Alligator mississippiensis: one gene and its partners. Each later gene encodes a partner of the first gene's protein in a complex. Links are inferred from orthologs where the notes say so. Each region holds a gene or a part of one and is shown on either strand. Other genes may lie near its edges. The genes, in order: AP2B1, ARRB1 and LDLRAP1.

What was found.
Region 2: the proteins of AP2B1 (region 1) and ARRB1 are in contact, whole or in part, in a crystal structure (PDB 2IV8), measured with the Homo sapiens proteins. The link is inferred for Alligator mississippiensis from reciprocal best matches to the Homo sapiens genes AP2B1 and ARRB1. Residues at the interface, in NP_001273.1 of Homo sapiens: Arg834, Gln835, Phe837, Leu838, Trp841, Lys842, Asn846, Glu849, Ile876, Ala877, Arg879, Val881, Glu882, Gln884, Tyr888, Glu902, Arg904; in NP_004032.2 of Homo sapiens: Asp384, Asp385, Val387, Phe388, Glu389, Phe391, Ala392, Arg393, Arg395, Leu396.
Region 3: the proteins of AP2B1 (region 1) and LDLRAP1 are in contact, whole or in part, in a crystal structure (PDB 2G30), measured with the Homo sapiens proteins. The link is inferred for Alligator mississippiensis from reciprocal best matches to the Homo sapiens genes AP2B1 and LDLRAP1. Residues at the interface, in NP_001273.1 of Homo sapiens: Arg834, Gln835, Phe837, Leu838, Trp841, Glu849, Gln851, Ile876, Ala877, Arg879, Val881, Glu882, Gln884, Met886, Tyr888, Glu902, Arg904, Ser915; in NP_056442.2 of Homo sapiens: Asp253, Leu255, Asp256, Ala258, Phe259, Ser260, Leu262, Ala263, Gln264, Arg266, Thr267.

Annotation. Positions count from the first base shown.
Region 1 is NC_081837.1:26,708,650-26,718,647, reverse strand, and holds the start of AP2B1 (AP-2 complex subunit beta), read right to left. Parts: upstream 4,168-9,998; 5' UTR 4,082-4,167; intron 3,956-4,081; exon of another isoform or gene 3,620-3,955; intron 3,584-3,619; exon of another isoform or gene 3,181-3,583; intron 2,755-3,180; 5' UTR 2,596-2,754; intron 1,271-2,595; exon of another isoform or gene 1,173-1,270; intron 427-1,172; 5' UTR 406-426; coding exon 369-405; intron 1-368. Other genes in the region: PEX12 (peroxisome assembly protein 12), read left to right, coding at 4,350-4,475, 6,229-6,770, 8,926-9,325. UniProt on the Homo sapiens protein: Component of the adaptor protein complex 2 (AP-2). Adaptor protein complexes function in protein transport via transport vesicles in different membrane traffic pathways.
Region 2 is NC_081824.1:478,358,641-478,368,419, forward strand, and holds the start of ARRB1 (beta-arrestin-1), read left to right. Parts: upstream 1-5,281; 5' UTR 5,282-5,296; coding exon 5,297-5,468; intron 5,469-5,720; exon of another isoform or gene 5,721-7,018; coding exon of another isoform or gene 7,019-7,142; intron 7,143-9,779. UniProt on the Homo sapiens protein: Functions in regulating agonist-mediated G-protein coupled receptor (GPCR) signaling by mediating both receptor desensitization and resensitization processes.
Region 3 is NC_081829.1:3,554,978-3,565,037, reverse strand, and holds the start of LDLRAP1 (low density lipoprotein receptor adapter protein 1), read left to right. Parts: upstream 1-6,212; 5' UTR 6,213-6,227; coding exon 6,228-6,303; intron 6,304-6,385; coding exon 6,386-6,528; intron 6,529-9,507; coding exon 9,508-9,620; intron 9,621-10,060. UniProt on the Homo sapiens protein: Adapter protein (clathrin-associated sorting protein (CLASP)) required for efficient endocytosis of the LDL receptor (LDLR) in polarized cells such as hepatocytes and lymphocytes, but not in non-polarized cells (fibroblasts).

The DNA of each region.
Region 1 (9,998 bases):
GACCACTTTGCCCTGTATATAAATCTCTATAAAAGGCTGCTGTATGTTTCAAATCCCAAAGTTCTGTTTCTGACCTTCCAGAAAGTAATACAGAGCCAGAAAAGGCAATTGGGGCTGCCGTGTTTGCATACTGCAAGCGTGTTCAATTCATCAATCCTGTCTTTTGTCATCGTGTGGGAGGGGGCTGGGTGTTTGGGAACTGTTTTATGGCCTACTTTTGAACAGCTTCTGGATGACTAAGAAGAGAAATGGGGACACAGCACATAAGGAAGCACAAACTCTGTTGTATGGAGTTAAAAACATCATTTTAAAATAGGCACTCACTGTCCCCAGGAGCCTCCAATACACTAGAATAGTTTAAAGCTCACCTTTTTTATTAGTTGTGAAATACTTGGAGTCTGTCATGGTTCCAATTCCTTAGAACACCTGCAAGAACAAGGAACATTTGGACAAACGCTGTAGCCACTGTTCCCCAATATGTGAGCCATGCATTAAAAGAACCATAATTTAGCCAGAGTACAGAACAGAAGATAGCTGCTCTGCAGATGTATTCCCCAGAAGTTTCACAATCTTCACACTGTACCAACAAATGACATCCCAGAGTATTTTTATATAGATACATCCATCTCTCTCTCTCCAGAATATATACATATATTCTGTATCAAAAAAAAGACAGCATCAAAGATGGCTTTGATTCCTAAAAGCAAGAAATCCAGGTTTCACGACTCTTTTCAAACAATGGCAGGATCTACAGAAAAAAAATGTAGGACTCCCCCTACAGGTATATTCAGGAGTTGCAGCACCACAGAAAGGACTGTAAACACACTGTTTCTATACACACCACAAGGCTGTTTGATCACTTTGTTTCCTGAATCATGATGACACTGGCAATCCCCCAACATTAAGAAAAATAAATTGCTCTATAGTAACCTTACGGAAGCTTGAAATCTTTCCATCACTCTCTACACCAACATTTTCCACCCTCATTATCACAGACACCTTGACCTATTACTGTAGTACAGCAGTTCCCGAACTCCGACAGATTGAGCACCACCAATTTAAAATGATACAGCCTTACCACCACCAATTTTTTCAGTTCAACCTTAAGTACCACCAGTAAATTTTTGTCATATAAATTACTGATAATAAATCTGTTAACGCGTACTACTTACGGGTTGTTTGTGTATCACTAGTGGTACCCGCACCACAGATTGGGAACCTCTGCTGTAGTGCTATTCTCTCACATTCAGCAGCTACTGTGGATAGGCTGATCATGAAGACTAGACTGTAGGAGCACACATTCATTTACTGCTGTAGGAATTTCAGAATGACTTTGATGTTCACTTTTTTTTTCTTCCACCAAGCTAAGTCGATTAACAACAAAATGTAGAGATCAGATGGGCTGCCCCAACTTCCCATGAATGCAGACCCATTTTGAATTTTTCTTAAATGGGACTGCTGCCAGCTGGATGAGGAAACTGACTCTCTCTCAAACTTGCTGAGAAAGAAATGACCACTGGAGGAAGAGATCTTATGGCTGGCTTTTGATTATTTTATTACATCAGGGTAACAACCAAAAACCTGAAATCCGATCTATCCCTACAATGCCATAATCACTTTTTTCCTTTCAATTTTTGCCTGATCTTCTCTCCCACTTTCTGCACACTTCTCTCCTCCCTTTGTTTCTCTCTTGCTATATTGGAGCAGTACACCCTACTTCACCCCAGTTTCACTCTTCTTCCTTTTTTTCTGGGTTAAAGACATCTCCTGGGATATCCCTGCTTTCTCAATGACTCTGCCTAGCTAAAGAGGAACAAATTAAGAACCTACAGCAAGATATTGAGCCTGTTTCCTTTTTCTGTTGGCTTAAAGTATTGGCTAGTAAACAAATAAGATCTCTTTCTGCTAAGGTCTGGTTGCTTTGCTTCCATGGAGCATGCAGACACTGCAGCCCCAGAAATCATGGGAACACATTTGGCGTGGAACAGCAACACAGCCCCATATATCATTTGTGGACCTCATCTTCCAAATCATAGACCGGTGATTCTCAAACAGGGTACCATGGCACCCTGGGGTGCCATTAGATTCTTTTTAGGATACTGAATGGCACGCTGCACTATTAGCACTGTTAGGTGTAAAAACACCTGTAAAATTCACAAGATTTCAAATAGGAACCCATAAAATCAAAACCATTCTGACCTGTTGTGGTCTTCCGAGTTCTTCTATTGCAAAAAATTGCTCTGCTACTTTTCCCATCAAGAAACAAGTGAAGGTAAGAGCTGGCGGGTGCCCTGAATCTAAAAAGGTTGAGTTCCACTGCCCTAGACACACCCTGCATCTTAGTGCATCTCTTCCTCTCAAAGATTGTTTCTTTTCTTCCACCCTTAAGATTAGACTAATGCTGCTGCTCTTGGTTCAGCCGTAGAGTTAACAGAAGCAGCAGCTGAGGAGCAGTAAGCAAGTCTTGGTTAGTTTCAGTCTGCTCTCAAGGGAGCACTCTGGGCATGACTGTGATGTCCAAATGCTTAAGTGTAGGAAAGGCAAATGTTAGTCCCTATCTCCCTGTGCCCCTTAAAGATTGTGCTTGTACTGTACCTTTTGCGTTACCTGTCCTTAACCCAACAGTTAGGAAAGGATGATAGCAATCAGGGCAATTTACTTTCACTCCAGGTCTGTTTCGGCTGAGCCAAACACAACGCCAAGTGCAAGCCTACTGCAGGACAGAGTACTTTGATTCATGAAGCCTGGAAACACCTAGAAAAAACATGGAAATATAGCATTGCCCGGATCAAATCAAATGTAAACCCCTCAAGCTTACCAATCTTGGCAACAATCCCTTCAAGCAAAACTGTAAGTGTTCCAAGAGAGGAAGCTGCCACAGTCTTTTTAATTATCAAACAAGCCCAGCCTACTTTCCACTGCAATCTTCTTGCTGACACATTGCTTAGGATTTTAACCCAGTTGAAAGAGGACTCAGATGTTTTGCTATATACAAGGCCACAAGGCCTAACACCATCCAAAAGAGATGTACTGTAAATTTCTTCCCATGCTTCAGTTTCATTATATTACACGCAGGATTTGGCAGTGTGGGCCAGAAATGCTGGCTGATGTAGTCTGGCAATGAACAGCAGCCAACCCCTGGTACTTCAGAGAAAGGCCAGACACCCAAGACGCACCCACCTGACTGTGCACTGCCAGAGGAAAATTCCTTGCTAAACATCCAAGGAGACCTTTATGCCTTGAAGATGAACACTTCAGTCCCTTATTATTTTTGCTCACGTACCTACAAGTGTCGTTAGCAGTCATTAAATTAGCTCGCCCTTATTTAAATGTAATCACAGCATGTGCCTTCACAACAGTGTTAGCAGATCCAAACAAGATTTGACTGTTATTTTAGTTAGCAGCACAGCTTCCACCATCCAAGTGCAACCTGGTCTAAGGCTGCCCATCCCTGGGGTGAACAGACATTTTGCTGCCTTCTGGGTTGAAGCTTGCCCCACACACGCTGTCAAAGGCAATTTCCCTAGGTATTTCATATTATTTGGTTTCCTAACCAAATAAGAGTATGGGGAAGCTCAGGTGAGGCCCAGCCGGCCCGGAGACAGGAGCTGGGACTCACAAGAGGCAGCTCTTCCCGAGCGCTGCAAGGGAAATCCGACTTTCTTCTGCAGGAGGCAAAACTTCGTGAAGAGGTGAATGTTTTTAAGGCTATGAAGAGAGGTGCTCTCCTCGGCAAGGGCTGACACCCGGGGGGCAGGCCCGGCCCCGCCCTGCATCAGCGGGAGGCCGCAAACCGGGCCCGGAGCCTCCTGGGCCCTCCAGCTCTCGCCCGCGGCTACTCCCGGGTCCCGGCCACGTCTCTCCCCGGCCCCGGCCCGCCACACCTCCGCCCGGGACAGTGCGGGGGCCACAGCAGGGCGGACCCGGGCGGGACCCGCGGGAGCGCTGGGAACCGCCGCAGAGGGGAGGGCGCCCGACCCCAGCCCCAGCCCCCACCCCGCTCCCCCGGCCGGGCCGGACCCGCGGCGCTCAGGGCAGGCGGCGACCCGAGCGCGGGGGCGGGACCGGGGCCCCTGCTCACCGGACTGCGGCGGCGACGGCGGGAAGCGGAAGCGGCACCGAGCGGCTCCGGCGACTGAGACTCACCGCCCAGAGCGTCCGCGCCGCCGAGACCATAGAGAGCGGCGGGGGGCAGAGCGCCGCCTTCCGCTCTACTTCCGGGTGCTGCTCCGGCCGGCGCTCCTTCCCACTCAGGCCGACGGCAGTGAGGGCTCGCCTGCCCCCGCGCAGCCCCGGCCCGGTGGAGGCCTACGCGCATCCGTCCCCGCGGCACCCCGGGCGGGGTCGCTATGGCGGAGCACGGCGCTCACCTGACGGCGGCGGGCGGCGGCGAGGAGGCTCCGTCCATCTTCGAGGCGGTGGCTCAGGACAGCCTGATGGCGGTTCTGCGGCCCGCGCTGCGCCACGTGGCCAAGGTGGGCCGGGGCCGGGGCCCTGCAGCCCCCGCGCAGGTGGAGGGGCGGCCCCCTGTCAGCCCGATGCGGGCGGCACGCGGATCCGCACGGCAGCGTGGGGGTGCTCACCCAGGGCCGGCCCCCTCGCTCCCGCCGCCCTGGCCGGGACGAGGGCGGGGCAGCTGCTGGCTTTGAGCACCGAAGCCGCCGCTCCCGCCCGAGGAGCATCGGTGCCCAACGGGGGCTGCAGGGCCGGACCCTGCGCCAGACACCTCGGGACAGGAGTCCGGCAGCGACCACCTGCGTTTACAGAGCCCCTGTCGTGCCACGTGTCTAGCGCAGCCCCCACGGTACAGCTCCCACCCGGCATTTACCAGCCGATGTGCCCCGCACAGCCCTGCCCGGCCCAGGCCCCCCCCCCGCTCCCCACCTTGGCAGGAGCTTCCAAGCCCCAACCCTCTGCCAAGCTCTCACTTCTGCTCCCTTTGCTGCCATCCCTGGCTCCTTCCAGCCATGCTGTGGACTGCAAATGCCATCTGCTTAGGTCTCTCGCCCAGCACCATTTGAATTGGGCTAATGCTCAGCTCCACGTAGTGCCAGGAGTCGGGGCATCCACAGAAAGTCAAGCCCCTGCTGGGACTGCTGGCAGGAGCTCCTTGCGTTCTGCGTGCTCCCATTGCCTGGTCCTGTCAGCCACAAAGCTGCTGCTTACTGTTTGAGTTTTGTGGGCTGCTGCCACTTAGTCAGGGATCCCAGCCACTTGCTCCCTGCCCATCTGCAACCCCATCCTGCCCAAGCGCAGAGCAGAGCCACAATCAACTGCCTGCACGCAGCTGCAATGGGCGCTAGTTCTGCATGCAGGGAGGGAGCAAAGCCTATCGCAGGGGTGTGCAGGCAGCGGAGTGTGGCTCTGCTCTGCAGTTGGCTGGGATGGGGCCATAGATGGGCAGGGAACAGCATCTGGGAGCAGGATGGGCAGGCAGGGCTAGGATCCCCAACTAAGCAGCGGTAGCCTATGGGACACAAACCAAAGTGGCAGCTTGGATCCACATGGGCAGGGAGCACGGCCAGGCCAACAGGATCAGCAACTTGGAGAGTGAGCTGGTGGGGGCTTGCAGGGGGGCAGGATGCTGACCAGGCCAACAACTCATCAAAACTCCTTATCTGGCTTGCAGGCCCAAATAATTGCCCACCCCTCTGTTAACCTATCCTCTTCCCTGCAGTGAGGCAGGGAAACAGTCTCCAGAGGAGGAAACTCAGAAAGGCCTGGTAACTTAATCTTTTTTTTGAGCAAGTCTGAGACGGAGCCAGAACTGAGGAGAGCCTGGTCTTCCCTAGTTCATGAAGGGATGAGTGCACATTTTAGGTTTTTCTGCCAGGGATATTGCTTCTGCTAATGCTGCTTAGTTCCATGCAGCAAGGGGCAAGGTATCTCTTGAACAAGCTCCTTTTTGTGCAGGTGAAACACACTTACACATTGTGTATTCATGTACCTGTTGTGGGAGGAAGCACTGTTATTACTGGAAGCCTTGCAAGTGTACACAGCCATCAGCTTGGAAGCTTTTCATCCCTGGAAGCCAAGATTCACATCTGGCTTATTTAATAACCAGCTGACATGCTAGGGTCAGATATGATGCTCACAGTGCCCTGCTGTAATCATGCCTCTGGTCTTTTGTTTCTGAACTGTTTAATAAAGTGGATGTGTGGGCTGTGGCAGCTTTGATTTAATGAGCTGGTCTTTGACATCTTTTCTGCTTTGTGTGCCTTGTACTAGGTTCTTGCTGAATCCAATCCTGGCCGTTATGGCTGCCTCTGGACTTGGTTTGATGAGATCTATGCACTCCTGGACCTACTGCTCCAGCAGCATTATCTGTCCAAGTGCAGTGCTTCTTTTTCTGAAAACTTCTATAGCTTAAAGAGGACAGTGTTGGGACACAGCAAGGGGCCATGTCGGCTGGCAAGTGCTGGACTTCCAAAGCAGCAGCACTGGAAGTCTCTCCTCCTGCTGGTTCTCATTCCTTACCTGAAAGGGAAGTTGGAGAAACTGGTCTCCAGCTTAAGAGAAGAAGATGAATATTCCATCCACCTTCCATCCTCTGCCTGGAAGCGCTTTTACAGGGCCTTTCTAGCAGCCTACCCATTTGTAAACATGGCCTGGGAGGGCTGGTTTCTCATCCAGCAGCTCTGTTACATCCTTGGTAAGACGCAACACCATTCACCGCTGCTAAGGCTGGCTGGTGTACGCCTGGTAAGATTGACAGTGGATGATATCCAGGCCTTGGAGAAGAAACTGGTTGCAGCTACTGCAAGCCACAGGTAAGTTATAGACTAATCTTACCCAGTGGTACCCAGCCTTTTTGCCCTGCAGGCCAGACAGACAGTGCTCCAGCGAATGGGCCCAATCCAGTGTGAGGGACAGGCAAGGCAGGGCCTGGTCCAGCTGTGTGTGGCAGGGAGAAGGGGGTTAGGGAATAGCCCAGCCTTGATCTGAGCCCATAGGTGTGGCTCAGCCCCAGTCTGGCCCTGGGCGGGGAGCATGGCCAACCCCAATTTGGTCCACAGGGCTTGGGAATTTGGCAGCAGGGGAGGGGTAATAGTATTATTTGCCACTGCTCCCTCACCACCAAATTTGCCAACCCATAGGGAGCCCCCATGGACCAGATGCCATGGCTCCATGGCCACATTTGACCTGTGTGCTGGAGGTTGAACACCCCTGATCTAACACATTCAACATAGAGCTTTTGCAATGCTTTGTGGCAATGTTCCAGGTTCTCTCTCTTCACAGATGGTTCTGTGAAATGAAACCATCAGTGTTAGAGGTTAAAAGCAGGAAAAGAGGGAAGGTCATAATGCACTTTAAATATAAATGAAATAGTGAGTCTTGTAGACTTCTTGTTGAAGTTAATTGCAGAGCTGCGTGGCTGGAAACATGTAAGGATAGTTGGTCTCTGACATGTTCAGCACTTGATGTCATTTCTGAGGCTGGTACCAAGGGAGATTGATGGCATCAGTTATCTGTTCAGATGAGCAACTTACCTTATTCAGACAGTGGTGAATTTTGGGTACTGCTAACCTGAGCCTTCTGAAACACAGATCCCTGGGTGAAAGCTTCTGTTGTCTCTTGTCCTAAGCTCTTCTACCTCAGAAATACAGTAAACCTAGATCTAAAAATTTCAAAGTGTTAAGAATTGCTATATTTCTCAGGCAGGCCAAGTTATACCTTCCTAGACTTATTTGCATTAAGAATCTGGCTGATCCTAAATAGCTTTGTAAACATGTCATACATGTGTAACAGAATTTTTAAAAAAGTTAAACACAATTGCAGAGGGTTGGAAGGGATCTCAAGGGTCATCCAGTCCAACCCTTGTCCAGTTGCAGGATTCACTCTTGCTGAACCATCCCAGTTGCGTTTTCTTGTAAACTTCCAGTGAAGGAGATTGTACAGCTTGCCTAGGCAACTTGTTCGCTCTCTCTGCTTGTATAAGTATGAAATGCAGAATTACAGAATGCAATTCAACAAGGAGAAATGCAAAGTGCTGCACCTAGGGAGGAAAAATGTCCAGCACACCTACAGCCTAGGGAATGACCTGCTGGGTGGCACGGAAGTGGAAAGGGACCTTGGAGTCCTAATGGACTCCAAGATGAACATGAGTCGGCAGTGTGACGAAGCCATCAGAAAAGCCAATGGCACTTTATCGTGCATCAGCAGATGCATGACGAATAGATCCAAGGAGGTGATACTTCCCCTCTATTGGGTGCTGGTCAGACCGCAGTTGGAGTACTGTGTGCAATTCTGGGCGCTGCACTTCAAGAGGGATGCAGATAACCTGGATAGAGTCAGAGAAGGGCCACTCGTATGGTTAAGGGCTTGCAGACCAAGCGCTACGAGGAGAGACTAGAGAACCTGGACCTTTTCAGCCTCCACAAGAGAAGGTTGAGAGGCGACCTTGTGGCTGCCTATAAGTTCATCATAGGGGCACAGAAGGGAGTTGGTGAGGTTTTATTCACCAAGGCGCCCCCGTGGGTTACAAGAAACAATGGCCACAAGCTAGCAGAGAGCAGATTTAGATTGGACATTAGGAAGAACTTCTTCACAGTTCGAGTGGCCAAGGTCTGGAACAGGCTCCCGAGGGAGGTGGTGCTCTCCCCTACCCTGGGGGTCTTCAAGAGGAGGTTAAATGAGTATCTAGCTGGGGTCATCTAGACCCAGCACTCTTTCCTGCCTATGCAGGGGATTGGACTCGATCTGTTGAGGTCCCTTCTGACCCTAACATTATGAATCTATGAATCTAAGTAGGGTTTTTTGTTTAAATGAAGTTTAATCAATATCTGTTTTGCTGTAGTTTAAGCCCATTGCCACTTGGGGATGCCCTGAACCTCTACTACATAGCATCAATTCTGTCTGTTAGCACTGTTTCCAGGTGAACAAATGTGTTGTACTAACTATCCATACCTCATCTCCCTGATACAGCATCAAGGACCAAGTGCATGCAGCAGTGAAGAAAGTATTGGGAGGTGTTGCCTTCTCTCTGTCCACTGGTCTCTCTGTGGGTGTGTTCTTCCTGCAGTTTCTGGACTGGTGGTACTCATCTGAAAATCAGGAGACCATCAAATCTCTGACTGCACTCCCTACTCCTCCACCCCCCATACACCTTGACCACGGCACAGGCTCACCTCTCTTACCAAAACTGAAGACAGTGTGTCCACTCTGCCGCAAGATCCGAAACAATGACACCGTCTTGTCCACATCAGGCTTTGTGTTCTGTTACCGCTGTGTTTATAACTATGTAAAGAGTCACCAGAGATGCCCGATTACTGGCTATGCGACAGAACTGCAGCACCTTGTCAAGCTGTATTCCCCTGAAAGCTGAAAGGACTGAACTCTACCTCTACCTGACATACAACTCAGGTCTTACATAATCTAGGCTCTCTTACACCCTGAATATACTCTTTGTGCCAACACAAAAGACTGTCACCAAAGGCAGGAAAATGTACGGTGCCAGCTTATGACTAGTATAACTGGGCACTATGGCACATTTGGACTTTAATGGCAGTAGTAGAGTTTTTGCTGCCTTGCCGAAATTTTAACAAGCCTTGGCTTCATCCAGTTTGAACACATTAGAACAAGATTGTCAGGTTCAGCTACAACTATATGCTGTCATTAGGGTTACCAGTGCCTTAAACACTGAAGTTGTGAAGTTACACTAAATAACAGGGAATGTCCAATTGGATAACAAAGCATGCATTTAGGAAAGATTAAAGAGACTATCAAAATCTGGAGGAGATATAAATCCTGCTTAAAGGCAGTAATTAGCCACTGAAGGGACTGGGACAGGAGATGGGGGGGGGAGGGGGGGGGGAGAGAATCTTAGCCTCTAGATAAACTGTTTAATCTCTCATTGCAGGGCCTCTTGAACCTTCCTTAAACTCAGGGTCTTAACCAATTTTGGTACCCTGAGCAGACAGCATCACAGTTTATATAGGTGCACTCCTAGATACCTCTCCTCTGCTAATTCTTCTGCTGTTAAGCTTTCTCACATTACC
Region 2 (9,779 bases), on another chromosome or scaffold:
CAAGACCCCTGAATGAGCAGGGCGCTGGGGCGAGTGGTTTATAGCTCATGCAACGGCCTAGCCTGCTGTGCTCATTTTCATCACGGCTTCTCTCCTCTCCAGCCCCCTCCTCCTCATTTAACAGTGTGAGAGAAATTGCTCGGGGACCTTTGGGTTCCCTGCCAGCAGAGAATGGCTAAACTCCCAGATTAAATTGCTGGCTGCTTGCTCAGCTGTATTTGCATGCCGTGGTCACAACCCTTGACCCGTGTGCCACGCTGCCCGCATAGCCCCGGGTCCTTCTCTGGGGACCGGAGAAACAACCAGTGGCTGCTGCTAGTTAAAGGAGTTGCCGCTGTTAGGCAGTCGAGGGCTTAGGGCCTAAAGACAGTGGATCTAAGTGTGCTCTTAGCCTAACACGCTCTGGTTCTGCATGTGAATTGCTTTCCCTTGCTCTTCCTGCGCTAAGCAGCCTGCCTGGCTTCCAGCTCTTCCGCAGGGCAAAGGACTCATTACAGATCTGGCTCTGATCTCTGAGGATCCCGAGGGGACAGCAAGTTCCCTGGCACACTGACATATCTGCGAATGCAAGGACCGGAGATGAAAGCCCAGGAAGGCGGCAGCCCTTAATGCCTCTGCAAAGGATGATGTTTGCGTCGGATCGGATGGTCTTTCTCTGGGGATGCCGCTGCTTCCCTGCGCAGAGGTGCCCGGCAGTGGGACCCCCTTTCATCTCCTGCGAGAGGCACCCTGCGTCCCTCCCTCCCAGAGGAAGGCTGTGCGGTTGTGCCCTGGGGAGGATAAAGCCCTCCGCTCGCTGCAGTGTCTCAGCCAGCGCAGGGCATGGGTGATGCATTGCTCGGCACGCCATCGCTTCTCTTGATGCGCAGCCGAAAGAGCCCCTTTGACCAGGACAAGGATTTGCAAACCCACTCCAGGATGATGGGCAGTCGTCCCACGGGACCAGGCCAGCTGCATGCTACCAGCCCCTGAGCGCCCGAAGCTGGCACACTAAAAAAACTCAGCACTGTCCTTAACAGAGCGCTGAGACGCACTCCGTGTGCTCTCGGGCATTGGACCAAGCGATATAAGACAGCCCTGAACATGATTACTGGAAACAGCGGCAGAGATGACCAAAATCTCCTGCTCCGTCAGCTGTTAACTGAAGACTCGTGCAGGAGGTGACGGCAGGTCGTCTCGTATTGCAGGTGGTTTGTGGAGCATCCCCCAGCTGATAGAGGTGCCCCTCGTCCCTGCCCGCTCTGGCCTGGGTCTGTCTCAGGATCAGGACAGTTCCTAGGCCTGTGCCTGATGGTGCTGGGATTATAACACTCATCGCATCTGTCTTGGACCGACGGAGAGAGAAGGCAGAACCCGCGTCTGGTCCGTTTAGCGCTCGTCCATCAGAGGTGTCCCTCCTGCACCTCTGTCCTCACACGTGTGACCCGGAGGGGATGCCGCTTTGCAGCCGGGAGGACTGGATCCTCATCGCACAGGGCTCCAGACTGGTGCCGCCTTGCAGCTTGCTCCCGGGCTCTTGTTTGGTGCAGGCAGGACCCCTGAAGGGCAGAGCCTGTTGCAAAGTGACCCCGTCCCTAGCCCTGGATAAGAACATGCTGGAGGAGCGGGGAGACGGTTCTGCCAGCCTTCCCCTCTCTGCCTTTCAGCCCTGGGTATCTTAGTGCATCTCTCTAAACATCCTGCAGCTGATTGCCTGGCTGGCGATCCGCCGTGCCATCTGGCCGGAGAGTGCCTCCCTGGGGGATCCTGCTGCACGAGCGCTTGCTGAGCTCTGTCTCTGGCATAACTGGGGAGAGAAATGCCTGAGAAGTGATTACAGCGCAGCAGGAAGCAAGCGGTTGGACTGCCAGTCCTCCCGGAGCCACTGCCAGCTTCATTACCATCCCCTTCCCATGAGCAGGGAGAGCAGCACCGTGCTGGCGCTCCTGGCCCGTTGGGCTCGCCGGGTGCCGTCTGGCTAAGCCGGGTGCAGGTGACATGGGACCTCCCGGGAAAAGCATCCCCCCTTACCTCCAAGCCAGGCAATCGGCCCCCTCCGTGCCAGTGCCATTGCACGCTGGACAGGCCGTGAGTGCTGCAAGCCGGCAGGGCTATCCGCACATCTATGGACCCCTGGAGTCAGAGGGCTCTCCGGCAGGCCTACGACACCAAGCACACGCTGTTGGGGGGCTGTTTTTCCAGCTGAGACAAAAATGCCTTGGTGCTTTCCACTCCTAGAGGAAGGTAGGGGCCTGATTTTCATTCACGCTCAGGTCCCAGGGACAACCCTGCAGACAACGGCTGAGGCACGAGGAAGGGGGATGCTGCAGGCAGCCAAAGGGACGGGCTGGTCATGTGCGGGGCTGTTTGCTGCGGCTGCAAATTCCTCCCATGCAGACCAGCAGCGAGCCGTGCTGGGGATACCGCTGGGGAAACGTCTCGGGTTAGATGGATCATTGTGCTACAAGCAGGATTTAAGGGCTGGGCTATGATAAAATCAGACAGCGGTAAAACCCGGCGGGTTGTATATCTTTTCTAATGCCATGCAAGAGGCACAAAACCCATTGAGCTGCATCCTTCCTGTACTGCCGACGGTTTCAGCTCCTTTGTAAGCTGCTCGGGACCATCTGTTGCCTGCATGTCCATCCAGCAGCTTGGCTCGGAGAGCCGCTGACAGCCATGTCTCTCCGATGCAGATCTTTGCCCTTCTGCCCTCCCTACTTATTGGCTTAGGCCTGAGGGAGGTTTCAGAAATGGAGCCAGGGAGAAATCTCCATCCAACCTTGGCACCCTGAGAAGAACCAGGCCTCATCCCGAGGTGAAAGAGCCGACTTCAAGAGAGGAGCTCCTTTGGTTGCAAGGAGAACTGGAAATGAGTATGGCATGCCAACAAAGCTGTATGGGACTGCACATGATACCCCAGCTACCCACACAGGCCCTGCCAGACAGGGGATTTACTTATTAGGCTTATTAATGCATTCAGGATAAGCAGATTAACTTGAGCTATGGTTTGATGGATGTACCTGGCCGGAGCCTGGCAGTGTTCCCGGTTGGATGCATTTGCTGCGAACCCTGATGCAGGGGTGGGTGGTACCCTCGCATGGGTTTTGGTCTCCTTATCTCAAAAAGGATGTAGTAAGGTTAAAAAAGGCACGGAGAAGAGCGACCCAAATAATTGGGGATATAGAGCAGCTGCCGTACTAGGAAAGACTAGAAAGGCTGGGTGAGACTCTTTAGTTTGGAAAGACGGCGGCCGAGGAGGGATATGGTAGAGGTCTATACAATCACGAAGGGTGTGCACCAAATGACAACTGCTACTTGCCGTGTCCCAGATGCTGGAACTAGGGAGCGCTCGTTGAAATAAATAGGCGATGAGCTTAAAATGAACTCGGAGAAAGGGCTTTTTCACTCGCTGCGTTGTTAACCTGTGGGACTCGCTGCCGCAGGAAGCTGTCGGGGCAGATAGCATAGCCAGGTTCAGGAAGGGGCTAGACCAATTCTTGGATGATCAGTCTATTAATAGGTATTAAACACACCAATGAGGGCTGTATTCTCTGGCATCTCTAAATCAATGATGGTGGATGCGAGGAAGAGTAAGGCGGGTCACTCAAGACCAGGGGTTTTAGACATGCGACACCCCTGGATAGATCAAGACCCCCTTGGGAAAACACCAGCTCTCACCTGTCACTCTTTTTTTTTGGAGAAATAATAGAGCAGGTTTTCTGCTGCAAAGTTCTTCAAAAGACCCCAACTATGAATTCCTGTTTGAAATCTCGGGCTAGGGACGGACATTACACATAAACCAGTTTCAGTGATCAGAAACTGGTTTAAACCTGGAACAGAACAGATGTTCAGGGCACATAAACCAGTTTGAAAAGGGCTGAAACCGGTTTGAGACAAACCTGGTCGAATGTAGTCTCAGACTTAACAAACCGGTTGATGCAATGTCTGTCCCAGACCTGGGTGTATCTTGCACATCCCGTTTGCACACCTAGCGGTGCTAATGCTGTGCGGCCTCCTGGGGCACCCTGTTGAGAATCACTGCTCTAGATACACCCTGGGCTCACAGCACAGGGATGCTAAGCAGGGTGTTTCCCACTCCCAGCTCTCCTTCCAGATGTGGGCTGGAGGATCCATCGCCTGCAAGGACTAATGGTCAAGCGAGGAGTCAAAAACAGGCACTGTGATGTAAAAGCAGAGCCAGAAGGAAGCTCATGAATGAGCCGCCTTGCTCATTGCTATACTCGCTACCGGAGCAGGCAGTGCCTGGTGAGATAGCAGGTTCCTGTACCACCGGGGATGGGGATGGCAATGGCGATGCCCCCTAGGAGGCAGGTGGGGAATGTGTTGCTGACCCAGTGCTTTCCATGATTAGCTCTTGGTCAAGCTGCTATCTTTAGCGAGAGCCCTGTGTGCTTAAGGCGTGGGTTGCACCCCGAAAGCGTGGGTCACACCATTGCACACTGCGAGCGCTGCTGCGATGTTCCTCGAGGCCTGTCTCTATAGCATCCCTGACCTGCCAGGACGGGTCCGACCCTCCTGGCCAGGCAGCCAGCAAACAGAGGAAAAGGGTGCTCAGGGGCTGTGCAGGGTTGCAGGCAAGTTCACTCTCACAGCCCCCTCTTTGTCCTGCCGCTTTAAGCCCAAATATTCCACACTGGATGGAGAAGAGCTTGCCTGCTCCTGACCTGCTACCCCAGGGATGATACCCCACTATCCCCTGGAAACTGTATTAAAAAGTGTCCCCCTTAAACCACCCCATGCCACCCCACATTCAGGTCCTGTCCCACCGCTGTAGACATCGAGTCTTGGAGACGCCGTCACTCTCCCTTGCCCCATTAATCCCAATTTGAACATTAGTTTTGCCTTCTCCAGTGGAACAGAAGTGACCAGGGGGGTTTATATGGGATTGGGCCTTGTGGAGCATGGGCACCGGCTGCTTGTCTGCTCCGTCCCTGATTCCCTTTGTGTCCCCTCTCCCTGCAGCTCACAGTCTACCTTGGGAAGAGGGACTTCGTGGACCACATAGACATGGTGGATCCTGTTGGTAAGTGGCTGCTTGGCTTGGTTCACCTGGTGGGATTCCCAATGCAAAGAGCAGCCCAGCCCGGGATGCGGGTGCAGAAGTGCTTTGGCTTTGTGCTGTCTCCAAGGACAGCGCGTACCGAACGGGGGGGCTTATGCAACAGCCTTGCCGTAGCTGTAATTAGACAGGAGGGTTAGAGATTTTCCACATCAGCAAGTTTCCCCGGTCGTGGCTGGAGTGTGCTCTCATGCCCATCCTACCCACTCGAAGGGAACATTAGCTAGCGGTTGGATGGGTCTGGACTTTGCAGAGAGGATGCTGACGACCAGGATGCCTGCAGCACCCGGGGGCTGCAGCCGGGATGCAAGCCCAAGCGTGCAGGGTGCTGTTTCAATACATCATAGAGGACAGTTCATGCCACTGCCTCGTTTCAGACCAGACCCGACGAATCTCGGAAGGGAGGGTGAGAGTCGCGCCAGTTAGAGTGTGCATTTGCACAGGGCAGCTAGACGAGGTGTCTGGTCAATGAATTACCATGCCCCAATGTTTGTGCTGCAATAAATGACAAAATGCTGATGAATGCAAGAGAGAGGAGCTGTTCCAGCTGGCTGGCTGCCTGGCCCGCTGCTTATCCAGCAAAGCGGGTGTTGAGGAAGAAGGTAGGAGGAGGGAGAGCAGTGGCTGTAGGTACGAGGTCTGGTTATAGAGGCAAACCAGTGGGATGCGTGCTGCGGACCGCCCAGCGATCTCTTACACCAGTGCAGCCAGGGTTTGCACCGTGCCAGCTGTGCCCGGGCAGCTGCTGCGGTAGGGGCAGGCATCCAACCCTGCTCTCCCTGGCAAACCTCCCATCGATGGCAGCGTGTGAAGGATCAGGATATCGGGCGGTTGCTAAAGTGCACGATCAATTGGAAGTTGGCATCCCGACAGGCATGGGAGCCTGCCTCCATCGAACCCAGCCTGGCTTGGAGCGACCTGGTTTCTGTGCGTGCTGAGGCTGGGGTGGGGGTCCCAGGAAAACCACAGCTCTAGGTGTGAAGGGGGCTCAGGGAACTATTTTTCCTGTCTGTGAGAAGACTTTGGGATGTGCAGGCCCAGGCTGCAGCCTGCGGTCCTGGGAATGAGATGTAATGAGCTCCTGGCAGGGTGAGACGTGACTGTTGGAGAGGGACTGAAAGAGTCCAGACCTGTTTGCATGGCATACGGCGAGATCCTTTCCCAGGGATTTCCTTCTATTACTTCTTATCTATATGAAAGTAGCACCTGGAAACCCCTGCTGAGATCAGAGGCCCGTAGCATTGGTTGCTCTTCACACCACCGGGAGCAGGCCGTGTCCCGAAGAGCCGAACATCTGGAGAGGCACCGGTTGTGTTGTCCTGCCCACCATAGATGCAAGGGGCAAGAAGACTTGCCCAAGGTTGCACGGGAAGCTTGTGGCAGAGCCAGGAACCGGCCCCAGATCTCCTGTGACTCCGCCAGCCCTTGTGCAAGCCCTTGTGTAAAGTTTTCAGGAGGGCCGAAGGGCCAGATCCGGAGAGGCAGTTACAGCGGCAACGCCGAGCATTCAACGCCTAAAATTTAGGAGCTTGGTTCTGGGCGTGGAGCCCACAAAGCCTGGGGAGGCACCTACCTCCTCTGCACTTTAAATAGAGAGACAGAGTCACCTGGGCCCTCGACCCACCGAGCCCCTGCTTTACAGTGGGGTAAGAGGCACCACTGGCGCTGCTGGAAACCTGGAGCAATGTCGTGGAAAGCAATGGCTTGATTCAGGATTATGCTTCAGATGCCGGGGGGGCAGGACCCGGTCGAATGAAGCTGCATCAGACTGAGGGAGATGCACCTCTGGCCTGTATGGTGCAGGCTGGTCTGAAAAGGGCTTTATCCTCTGGATGCCTGCTGCTCGCTGCACCCTTTTAAGGTTGAGTTTGGAGAGGTGAAAGACAGGGTGCAGCAAGGAGGCTGCCGATCCATTAGGCAGGCCGAGCTAGTGGCAGCAGGCTGCAGAAGCCACAAATGTGTCTGAAAGGAAAGCCAGAGACCATGAGATGTGAAACCTCCCCTCCCCTTGTCCCCTCTCCAATAGCTAATGACTGGAGCCCAGGTCCCCTACGCCAGGTCCCGGCAGAAATCGGAGACGGTAAGGAACACAAGCGTCTTAGCGGGATTTGCTTAGCCCTATTGCTTGGGGCATCGTCATGGGGACTTTGCAACGTGCGTGAAAAAGGCCTGGCTCTTGGGCATTGCAGCGGCAAAACGGGGTCTTCAGAAGCTCCCGCCGGCCCCTGGCAGCAAGAATCAGAGCATTTCAGGTTGTTGTTACCTCTGTTCATTATGCATCTCCGAGGCCGCTAGCTTTCCGGTTTAATTACCCAGGGCGGCAGAGCATATTGCTTCTCCATTATCTCCCACCCCATATGTAATGCTCTTCTTCTCGTATCTAATTACAGTCCCGCTTTGATTACCCATTAGCTAGGGGAAAAAAAAAAAAAACCCAACAAAACCCTTTTTCAGACTTCCAATTTCTCCACCCTGGGAATTTGCAGACCTGACTCACCCCCGCATCCAGTTTCTTTGTTCTGGGGAGAGCCGCTCACCCTGGCTCAGCCGCATCGGATGCAAAGTCGTTCGCTTCGTTTTCATCCGCTGCCCCTCCCCGCAACCCAAATGGCTAAGACGCCATTAATGTCAGTGTGTAGGAAGGGCCCCGACTACACCGCGTTGGTTGTGGATTGGAGCCAGACGTCTCTGCAGACCGACCACTTTGCTTCTGGCCATCGGTGTGCATGGCCCGAGGAGCGGCGGGTCTCAAGGAGCACGGCCGTGGATTCGAGGGTCTAGTTTTACCACTGAGATGGAAGCACCCGGAGCTGAGCGTGCCTCGTTCTGCGGGCAAAACATCGCTGGAGCCAGACGCGGGCACCTTCATTCTCCGTGAATCTGAGCCACCTCGGCAGCCCCGCTGGCTCCTCTCTGCCTTCCCGGCACCTCCCTGCCCCTGCCATGCCATCCTGCATTCACGCCTTCGCCCACCACAGAAACTCATACGAAGTCAGGAAGGGGCGGCAGGTCTGCCTGGGAGGCGAGGCGATGTTTCCGTGCAGTGCATTAGCCTCGAGGGACTTGCTGCTCCAGTCTAGCACGGGACTGAGGAGTTTGTCAGCATGCCAGTGCTGTGGAAAAAAGCACAGAGGCAACCAGGTGCAGGAAGTTGAAGCCTTCTGCCTAGCCTGGCGTGCGGTGGGTGCTGTACAGCTCGAAGCCGTACGTGCCACCCGGTCCGGCAGGCCTCAGAGGCCTGGGTGCAGCTCGCAGAAGGAAGCTGGAGCGTACACCTTCTCTGGGGCAGGCCAGGAGAAAGGCCACGAGACTCAGATGGGTCTGGAGTGGTGAATGCTTTCCATCGCTCCAGAGAGCGATAGTCCTGCTCTTCTCTTCCATGGACAGGAGAGCCGTCATGCCGTGACCAGGGCTGGCTGGTTTGCTGTGGGATGGGCAGGACACAGCCAGGCGTGTCATAGGCATGGGGACAGGCTAGGCTTTCCTCTCTGGGCACTGCACTATTAACCGGCAAACATGGGTCTCAGCGCCACGTGCACATGAGGGTAATTCCTCTCCCTGTGCATTCACAAATGAGCTGGGAAAGCAAAGCTGCAGTGCCACGATCCCGGCAGACAGAGCAGCAACAAAACATAGGTTCGGGGGGTGTCGGTTGTAGCTGAAGAAGGGCGTTTGCACCCAAAAACTTGCAAAGAACAATTTTTCCAACTATTTAGTTGGTCTAATAAAAGATATCACATTTACCCAAAGACAGCGCGGGTTGTCGCTTAGTGCCCTGATTTGCATTTGCAAAGAGGACCCTTCTCTCTCCATTCACAGGGCTGACATCAGGCCCTGAGTCACGTCCTCCTTCGTCCTTATGTCACCCGCTGTTCGGTGCATGCTACACAGCCCCTCCCGGCTTGATCCACAGCTGCTGCCACCTCCCACCCGGGGACGAGTCCCTTGGCAGCAGCTGCAGTCTCACGTCCATGGCCCTGCAGGCCCTGGGGCTCAGGGATGCCCAGGCAGGCTCTCACTGGATGCAGGGGAGCCCCAGCTTGCCTGGGAACCCGGGGCTTGACCTTGTTTGTCTGCTTGATCCTCAGTAATAGCTAGCAGGAGTCTTGCAGCAGCCCAAAGAGGACAAGCACAGGAGAGCTCATTGGAGTTGGGTGTTTTGGGGGATGCAGCCTTCACCCCGGGCTGCCTGGCCCAAGGCTGGGCTGTCCGAGCCTTGTCCCAGGGATGGCCGGGCAGAATGGGAGAAATCCTGCAAGGCTGGAGAAGCAGGTCCCAGTCTGACTCAGAGCATAGCAACCACCAACGAAGGCATGTGGCACTTGGCCCATGCCCCGGAGATGCTAGGTTGGCGCCTGGAGGGCTGACTCGGGCTGGCAATGACGGGCTTCAGGTCAGCATGGCAGCAGATAGGATTCAGGTGTAATGGTGACTACTGAGGCAGCAGGTGCTGCTGCAGAGGGAGGCAATGTGGTGTCGAGGGGCTCAGGACCAGCGGGTACCAAGCTGGGCACCAAGAGGGTACCAGTGTGTACCAAGCTGGGTCTCGAGGGCTCCTTGACCCTAACAGCAGCTCTGACATGGGTGCATCACTTACCCACTCCACATCCTTCAGTTTTCCCATCTGCACAGTAAGGATAACGCTGACTTTCCCCGGGGAAGGGCAGCGCGTGGGGCTCGCTTGTCCCATCAGGGTGGAGCTGGACTGCTGGGAGCG
Region 3 (10,060 bases), on another chromosome or scaffold:
TCTCTTGCTGCATGGAAGGGGAGCAGCAAAGCTCCAGCTCCTGGAGTCTTGTGACTTATTTAAACTTCAGTTTAACTTAAAAACTTCCAGCCTTCGGTGTTGCAGAAAGGCCTAAGCCTTCGGGCACTTAAAGGGTCCAGACCCAAAGGCAAACTTAAAGCAAAGCAAGCCCATCTTGCAAAAATGCCAAGAGTCGTGCCTCCTACGTGTCAGGTTTCAGACAGATCCGGCAGCACATTCCTGAGCTGTGACATTCCAGCGCGGCTTTAAAGATACCTGCCAGGAGAGAACTATTTTTGCAGGATCTCTTGGCGGCAATTGCTTGTTTGCTGGATTTCCAGGCTCCGATCGATGCTGGCGTTTTCCTGGTTGCTGTGCTTGCAAGTGCTGCAGACACGGTCTTAAGGGCAGGCTGGTGGCATTTGGCCTCACGACTGGGGAGTGAGTGGAAGAGGATGAGGGCACGGCGGTGACCTTGCTCTCGTGGAGACAGGCAGGGTTCGACCAGGAACTCAAAACAAGGCCAGGATGACTCCAAACTCGGGGCTGGCTTTTCTGATCCTAGCAAGTTCGAATGTGTTTAGAGCAGGGGTGTTGAAGATAAAGTGCACGGGCCGGATCCTGCGGAGCCCTGTCATTGAGTCCACGGTCTGGATTGACACGGTGCATGCAGGGCCCTGGATGTGCACTGCGTATAACACGCGGTCCGGGGTGGGTGCTGTGTGCATCCTGGGTCCTGGACTGGCTGGAACAGGCGCCCTGTGTGCTGGAGTTGGCATGGCCGTGGAGCAGCCGTGCACCACGCATTCAGCCCACGGGGCCAGATGAGTTGGACATCCTGGTGTAAAGGGCTTTGAAGGCAAAAAAGGCCCTGTGCAGCCACCAAATGTTGCTCTCAGGCAGGATCCGGTTACTGTGTTGGGGTGACCCCTGCCCCAGCGCTCCTGTTCTGGGCTCTGCGGGGTGGTGTTATCAGTACAGCGGGATGCCCAGCTCCTGATGGACTCTTGCTCTAGTTGCATCCTATTTGTAAGCAGACGGTTAAACACAGCGGCTGGCTTGTCCTTGGCTCACCACTGAACTCGGAGAGCAGGTCATCTGCACAGCCACAGCGTAGGGCTGGGGGAGGAGGAATATTTGTACAAAGCACAGCTTAAAGCAGCTTGTCTGGCACCGAGGCTGTCGGGAGACTCGGACTGAGCCAAGCCAAGCAAGAGGGCCTGTCGGTGAGGTGAGATTCCCGCAGCGCAGTCTCTGTTTGGAGGCGGAGGGCAATCTCGCTGTCTTAAGTTGCAAGTTCCTGCGGTGTCTCCCGGTCCTCGAAATAGGAAAGCGCGCGCTACTAAAGCACGCGGGATTGTAAGGGGATCCTGTGCCGGCTTGCGAGGAAGGCAAGGAGACGGATTCTGGGTTCTGGTGCCCTTTCCTTCCCCCCAGGTTGCAACGTGGCACCGCTGCCACCACTCCCGCTGCTTCTGGCCTGCACCCTATAGTACAACCGCCTGGCTTCTGGGTCCCCAGAGCGACGGCGTTTTCCTGACCTCCCCGTGAAAGGCAGGGGCCCGTCAGTTCTGCCTGGGAGCAGGAGGTGAGAAGCCTGTCCTGTGCCTGTGCTCGATGGCTTCAGCACTGCAGCGCGATTGCAGACTTGTCTCCTTAAAGCTGATTTGCTTGGGCATGCTCCTTCCTTGTCTCCTGCCTGCCTTCAGAATTGACCTCGTCTTCTCTCGAGCAGCCATGAATACAGCTCCCCTCGGTCGCTGGGCAGTGTCCATCTGTTCTGCAGGGCAGAGCAGATGGCACAGCGGAGGGATGACATGACTCATGTCTCTTGCCAAAGCGCAGCTGGTCGGTTGGACGTGAAACCTGCCCAGCTTTTCCCTGCCGCTCCGGCTCCCGGCTCTGGAGGAATGTGGGGGGTGGGGAAGGACCATCGTGCCCAGCAGAAGCAAAGGGGCTGGTCTCTAAGCTGCCGCCGGGGCCACGGCCGACCACCCTGCGTGTCTCCTTGCAAAGCAGCGGCTCCGACGGGCTTGTCTGCATGTTCTCCTCGCGGGCAGCCTGTCCGGACTCGCTGTGGGACCTGTGGTTGCTGATGCCAGCAGCCTTGGTGAACCACTAAGCAAGAAGATGGACAGGGTGATGAAAACCCCCGTTGCTGTATTTTGCAAGTGACTGGCAGTTGGGGAAAGAGAGGGATTTTTTTCCCATCCTTTGTGGAAATAGGGTTCTTGGCTTGGCTTGGCTTGGCTTGGAAGCGAGGCCGTGCCGAAGGCCTGGCCGAGCTGGGCGCAGCAGGTTCCCCAGGACTTCTGTTGTCTTGCTTTGGTGGGGGAGCGTAAAGGTGACTTCAGCTCTGAAAGAGCCGAGCGAAGGCTACTCCTTGCACTGGAGCCTTTGTGTAATAATGCATGATCGGCCCTTCAGAAAAGCTGTGGGGGGCTGGGGAGCAGGGAATGCCGCTCTGTTTCGCAAGGACTGTCTGGTTCTGTGTCTGGCATTTGTTCCTGGCATCGTGTCCTGCTGCCCTGATAGCTCATCACCTGTGCATGCTGCAGCAAGCACAGGGCAGCTCCCGGCGGCCCTGTCCCGCAGAACGAGGGCAGCCTTGGATTTGCTGCCGTATAGGGTGGGAGGCAGGGGGAGTCTGTGGAGTATAAATGCAGGCGAGCGTCGTGTGCCGCACCTTACAGATGTTCCCCCGCAGCTCGGTAGGGCGCTTTCTCTCCCTAAATCTCCAGCTGCTTCGTAAAAGAGCTCCGCATCAGTCTTCTTGTCTTTTCCAGATGGGGAGACTGAGGCAAGGTGCAGTGACTTGCCCAGGATCACACAGCAGACCAGTGACAGAGCTGGGCATTGATCCCAGGTCTCTTGAGTCCTAGGACACTGCTTCATCCCCCTAGGCCAGCGGGTCTCCACATGTTGGATCCCAGTGTGCTGCTTGCTGGGTGTGCCGCGGAGACCCGGCACGCTAGTCCTGGAACAGAAGCAGCACAGCCGTGTTTCTGCGGCATTGCACTTGGGCTAATTAACTTGAGTCATGGTTGGGCTAATTAGCCTGCCTGAAACACCACAGCCGCCTGCGCTGGCAGTCATGTGCAGAGAGCCACCTGGCCCCGGGGATGTTTGGGAAGGGAGGGTCAGCGCACCCCCAAAGAGCTGCCTTTGCAGCCCACCTACAGCACTTCCCCGTGGAGACCCCGGGCACGGAGCCGCACGGACCCCACTCCTTTGCTTGGCGTTTGGAGCGAGTTCTCCGTGCAGAGCACCCGACCCCACAGGGACCCGTCCTGTTCCCCTTCCTTCCGCTGGGACTGGTCTGGACTGGAGGTGTTGCCCTGCTGCGCACACACACTGCCCGGGCGTGGGAAGTGACCTGCCTGGGTGTGACGGCCAGTTTCACACAGCTGCTGTGTTTACGTGGGGGCTTTCCACTTTTCTGGCGGGTAAGTTAGCAATCGTCTCTGCATCTCTTGCCTACTCTGAGGCTCCACATGAGTCACTGGAGCCCGTCCCACGGGGTGTGGGGACTTGAGCTGGGCTTCTCTCCGCTCCCTGCTGCTGCCAGGTCAGGGCCAAACCCAGCACCTTGCTCCTCCTTTCAGCAAGGGACTCCGTGACACCTGAGTCACCGACCTAGTGACGTCACGGGAAGGGAGGCTGCTCCCTCTCCCTGCCCCGTGTCATCATGGAGTTGCCTCCCAGTGTAAACTGCATGGCGCGTGCAGGCTGCATCATGCCGTTCGGCAGTGAACACCCACTGCCGAGCGCTCCCGGCAGCCCTGCCCTGCCGGAGGGGTGTGCCTTCCTGCCCGTGACCCTGCTGCACGCTGAAGGGCTTGGCAGGGAGTTGCTCTGTCATAGCGTGATCGGTCTGCAAGTGCATGTTCAGTGCCTGTGCCCCCAGCATGAGGGGAGCACAGGCCTCGGGGAGGGCTTGAAATGGCACAGCTGCGGCTGGGTTAGCCCGCGTGCACTGAGACAGGAAGGGCACTTCCATCCAAGAGCGCCCTGATGCTGCGGTGGATTTTGGAGCAGCTGCTTAATGAAGTCCGTGATGCATCGCACCCGTCAGCAGCCGTCAGTTTGTGCTGAGCGCGACTGAACGGCTGGCATTTCTTCGGCAACACCCGGGTGTTTGTTCCCCTCCTGCTTCCTCTGTTCAGTGCCACAATGTGCCTCTTACAGTCTATAGCTCCCGGGGTGATAGTCTCTGCAGCATTAGCTCCTGCCCACTCGCTCAGCAGGGGGTCTGTACCTGACACAGCAGCAGGAAACCAGAGAACAAAATGCTGCCAGCTCAGATCTGCACCTAATGAGAGCCTGCCTTAGCATCCACTTTGGCCCTTAGCCGATTAAGAAATATAGGCAGTCAGTGCATGGACATGATCTCTCCTTGCTCTCTCAAATAGAGGTATGTCCCTGGCTTGCTTAGCTCCGCTGAAGTCAGTGGAGCCAGCCCAGTTTACGAGAACTGTGTGGCTTTTTCCTAGCAAAGGATCTGGTCTTGAAGTACTTCCCGCGCCTTGTCTACAGCAGGTAGAACAGGGGAGGATCCACTCGCACCAGCATCCCGCGTAGCCCGGGGTAGCCAACCTGCACGACAGCACAGCAAAACCAGTGGCTTTTAACAGTGCTCAGGCCCCGTCTCTGTGATTCAGGAGCTCGGCTTTTTTAATCTCCATGTTCACCCTAATCCTAAAGTGCCCCATGCTAGCATGCCTTGGCATCTGCATGGCTTGGGGCCTGCAGTTCATTGGCTAAAGAAGCAGTTTGCCCTGCTCTGGGGTTTTTTTTACCAGCTTGTAATTTGGTGTTGTGTAACGAAGTTGTCATTCAGCTGGTTGGCGATGTACAGTGGTACAGAGAACAAACTGTTCTCTTGTATGTTCTCCTTTGTCTAATGGATGCGCTGGGTTTGGTGCGGCTGTACCTTCTGCGTCGTGTGTTAGCATGTATAATTCCTCCTAAGATGCCATGATTTCACTTATCCAGGCAGGTTCTCAGCGGGTATCTCCAAAGGACTCAGATAACTGAGAATGTTCTGTACCGTTCAGACCATGTTCCTCGTGCTGAATTACAATTGCTTTCCAGTCGGTATCTGATGGGGAAGCTGGGGTGATCTGCTCCTCCTCTCTGCTTAGGGCTGATAGTGAAGTCAGCCAGCAGAGGCCAACTGATAGCATAAGCAAGCTCTCCTCTGGTCATAGGGCTCCTATACCAGGACTTGAGCATGGACTATCGCTGACGTAGAAAGTGAGGGATGAATTAATACCAGCTTGGAAATAACTCTCTGCCTTCCCGTCATCAGAGGAGAGGAGGTGGGCAGTAGACGGAGGAACGTTGTCCTGGGTTTGCCTGGCTTTTGGGACGGCAACCTTGCTCCAGTCCCTGCTCTTGGCTTGTGCTGCTCTAAGCCTCTTGAGTGGCTTTTAAGGTGCAATTATCCTGGCACAAATTTTGCTAAATGACAGTCCGCTTAACAGGCCTTAGTCATAGGGCACTGGCTGGCCTGAAGGGGCTCTGTTCAGGAGAGCGGGAGGAAGGCAGACAGCAGCACAAGGCAAGTGCAGAGGTGTCCATGTCCTCTGTCACGCTGTCCTCTGGAGACTCAGCCGGAGCAAAGTTATTTTTCAGACTTAACCCTAGTGACATGGCCACTGGCAAGAAACCTTTCCTGAAGTGTCCGGGGACAAGGCAGCGGGGACCCGAGGGAATTGCGGGGAAGGCTCGCAAAGGCATTTGGTGCCTTATGTTGATTTTGATGGGGTAAAGAGCCTAAATCCCCTTGTAGGTCTGGCCTGGAGTTCCTAGTTAGCGTGGGTGTGAGCAGGCCCTGGGAAGGTGGAGGTTTCGTGGCCGTGTTACTGGCCTTCTGCTCCCAAAGCCTCTCTAGTTTTACTGTCAAGTTTTCGTTGCTTGCTTACTAAGCTTTGGAGTTGAAGCCAAGTTACGTTGAGGAAAGATGCCTGCTCTCCTGTGAGCGGGTACAGTTGTCACCTTTATCTCCCTCCTTGGTCACAAACTTAGTTCTTAAGGTCAAGCAGAGCAACAAGGAACTGGGCCTGGGAGTCTTTCATCTTGCTCTTGAGTGTCTCCCAGCGAACTGGCCTTAATTCTGCGGTCTTCGCTGTTGGGCTACTTGAGTGAAGCCAAGATACCTGAAATCTTTGTGCAGGGAGAGCTCGGTGAGCGGGTCGCCAGGAGTAGCAGTCACTTAAGATACAATGACTGGTGCACTTTCCAGTCCCTCTGGTCACAGCTTTGGCTGTGATGTGCTGCACTGCTCCCTTCGACACCCAGGTAAGGTAGAGGAGGCAGCTGGTGTGTGTTTGCATGACTTCCCAGTGAAATCCCTTGTTTAAAAAATTATAATCTCCTTTAGAACTGCCAGAAAACTGGACTGACACCAGGGAGACCCTGCTGGAGGGGATGCTCTTCAACCTGAAGTACATGGGCATGACGCTGGTGGAAGAGCCCAAAGGAGAAGACCTCTCAGCTGCTGCTGTCAAGAGAATAGTAGCAACGGTGAGTGTCGGGATGGGGTTTTCGACTAGCTCCGATCCTAGTGAAGGAGCTCCCTGCCACCAGCGCAGAAGCTTCTTTCCCTGTTCGAAGTTTGTGCGCGACAAGTGCTGTTCATAGACATCCTGCATGTATCTATTTCCGTATTTTCAATAGAGAAGGAAGGCTGGAAGGGACCTCAAGAGATCATTTAGTCCAACCAGAGAATCCAGCCTGCAACCTTGGTGTTATTAACCCCGTGCTCTAACCACATGAGCTAAAGGACCTTTTCTATACACCTCCCTTTCAAGGATCTTCCCATGAGACTTAAGGAGGGTGGCTGCAGGGCAGGGTTGAAGGGATTAAAAGTTGTGTCAAGTGCTATGCCTCATCTAGCTAGAGCTCTCTCCACTCAACGTCATGGGAAGAGAAGGTGTCCCTGTGGTATTTCAAGCCATTAATTACCCCTAACCCACACCTGCCACACACTGTTTAGGAAACCAGCAGCCTCTCCAGCTGGGATACTCTAGACCGGTGGGGTGGAAGCAGGGACATTCCCGTTGCAGAGGTCATGTTTCCCATTCTCAAGTTCGTTGCATTGTGGCCCGCACTTAGGAGGCCAGACTTCGGCACTAATTACCTTTGGGCCGTACCCAAGACACCATACCCCCAGGCTCCCACTATGGGCACGCATCTACCACTCTTGAGGCTTTTCCACGACTGCATGTCTCTTCTGTCCCAGTACAGCATCGTGGAGCCCTGTCATAGTCTATTCCCATCCACTCCCCGCAGTGCAGCCAGCTCAGAGGGGTCTGTGCACGAGGCATTGAGCTGTCCCGAGGGGGCTTCTCTGCCCCTACAAGGTAGAACGAACCCCAGGTTCGTGGCGCTGGGCTGCAAGTGGCTGCATGCAACACATTGCCAGTCAAGCGCACTTGATCTGCTGCTGACCTCGACTTGGCTCTAAATCTAATGGCGGTTGAAATAAATACATAAATGAATACATTTAAAGCAGCTAAGCCTGTGGCTGATGCAAGCCAGGGCAACAGGCTGGCAGTGGGGATAACAGCCACGAACTGTTGCCAAACAAAAATCCCTAGGGCCTCGTAACACTGAGTGTAGACCTGGGAGCAAAGCTGCTCTCTGGAAAAGCCAGTGTTGCAGCAGCAGGTTTTGTCTGCCAGCATTTGGTTGTGGTCAAGCTAATGCTACACAGGAACAGTCCACTGACCTGCAAACCAGGCTCGGGTGAAGGGCCCGATCCTGGGGGCGAGCAGCTGCTTGAGTGTAGGTCTCACAGGGCAAAGTGCACGAGTGTGGGAGCATCATTCCTCATCTGGAGAGACGGCGAGACGGTACACTGGATTTTGTGGCTGGCTTGATGTACCTGGGGGTAAAGCCCCAGCTGCTGGAGCCGTGTGACTTTTTTTTTTGTATGGTGTCTTTCTCTGCTAACACAAAGGCTAGAAATATTGCACAGGTGGCCCAGAGGTGCAAAGCAGAGGCCCAGGGAAGCGGGCAGTGTGACATCCAGGGATGCTGGGGCAACGCTGACAACAGACAGTCTCTTCCAGCTGGCGGAGCTGTACCTGTGCCACGTCATCTGCTGTGTAGACTGCGCATAACTGAGCCTCAGTGGGCCTTTCCCTAAGGAATAACTCAAGGGTCAGGCCCTAGTTATGTTTTTTCCCTCCGGCATTGTCCTCAACCCTCTTAGACTCCATACCCCCTTTGTAATATGTTGCCTTTTGGCTTTCATCCATTTTTTGACTATGGAAACATGCTAGAGCAATTCTCCTGTTGCAAAGAACTCGGCGGAGACCAAGCAGGTCAGGATGTTGGTGACACTCTGGATTCCTCTTTGAAATCTCTGGATTCATCTTGCGAATCATGCATAGGCGATTGCACACCTGACAGTGCTGGTATTGTGCGGCACCTTAAAGAATCTCACAGCACCCCAGGGGCTGTGGCACCCTGGTTGAGACTCACTGCCCTATGGGGAGATTTAAGGCAACTTAAACCAAAGATAATAACCTACTGTAGGTCTAGGCTTGTTGCTCCAGAGGCTGCTCAGCCTAGGCACATAGGATCATCCCAGATCTAGCAGCAGGTCTTGTATGGTATGTCATCTGGTCTGGTTGCTAACATGCAGTCTGTGGTACTGGATGCAAACCCTCCTTGCAGGTTGAGTTCGTATCTCCCGAGGTTTTGTCCATCCTGAGTGTGCAGCCTTCAGCCACCGTAAGCAATACCGCACAATCCTGCTGAGAGCACAGAGCCCAAATGAAGTGCTTAAGCATTTTACAGATGAGCGCATGTTCTAATCTGTCTTCCACGGCAACATAAATCAGTGCTCCGGTGAAGGTAAAATTTTAATAAGGGCTCTATCGTACCTTGTAGTAAATTAAATCTCTGATAATAACAAGTGCTATTAACTTAGCTGTTAATTGGTACGTTGGTCCTGGGTATGACTGTAAACTGCATCCGACTGGAGGGCCTGCTGGCAATGTGGTAAAGCTCCTGTAAAATACTGCAATGCTGCAACCGCTAGAGTAAGGCAAATATAAGGTGCCTCAAAACCTTGGCTTCCATTGCCTTGTGGGTACTCCTTGGTTGGAGGAAGGCTAAGGGACGTCACCCTGATAGAAGTGCACCCTGCCGGAGGCATTAGGCACTCAGCAGCAGTTCTTCTCTGTCATTCTGGTTGCAGAAGTTACAACCATCGAGGCACTGAATGCCTGGACTCGGCCCCAGTGGTCTAAAGTGGGGGTGGTAAATCTAGGGCAGCCTCTTCTGCCCCATACTTTTGCCTAGGCGCACTCGGGGTGATGGTCACATAGACCTCTTGCACGTACACCATGATCCAGAGGATTGACAGTTGCCAGAACAAGCTGGTCCATGCCTAGAGTAACTAATCCACCGTGTCAGTGCAGCTTTGGGGGGAATCGTGCTAAGTTCCTGCCGTGATGCACGTGTTTGCTTTCTTTCCCCTCCTGTTCCAAGGCTAAAGCAAGTGGGAAGAAGCTACGGAAAGTGACGCTGAAGGTGTCCCCTCGAGGGATCATCTTACATGATAGCGGAACGAATGAACTGATCGAGAACGTCTCGATATACAGGTACGTTGTGGGATGCAGTGCGCGAGGGCAAGAGCTGGGCCAGTGGTGGGTCCTGTCAGTGGACTTCTAGCTTCTGGCAGGCAGGGAGCTGCAGGTGGTTTTTCCCAGGTTAATTTGGTGGCAGGTTCAAAGTCAGCAAACTCGTGCATGAAATGTGGGCGTCAGCTGCCCGGTTGACCCCCTCTGCTCCTAACCTATCCTACTGCCTCCCGCTCCTACTAGGCCTTGGGTTTGGACAGGCTGGGCTCTGACTAGAGGAGACCAGGACGGGACTGAATGCAGCAAGGAGGGCCGATGATCTGGCTATAGTCTGCCGTGAGGTCCTGAGCTTGCCTCTGCAGCATTCAATACCAGCCTCTGCTGGAGGGAAGATCCTGAGCTAGACAACCAGGCCCAAGATTTGCTCAGGCGCTGCCCACGTGCCTCCCTCAGCCGCCTCT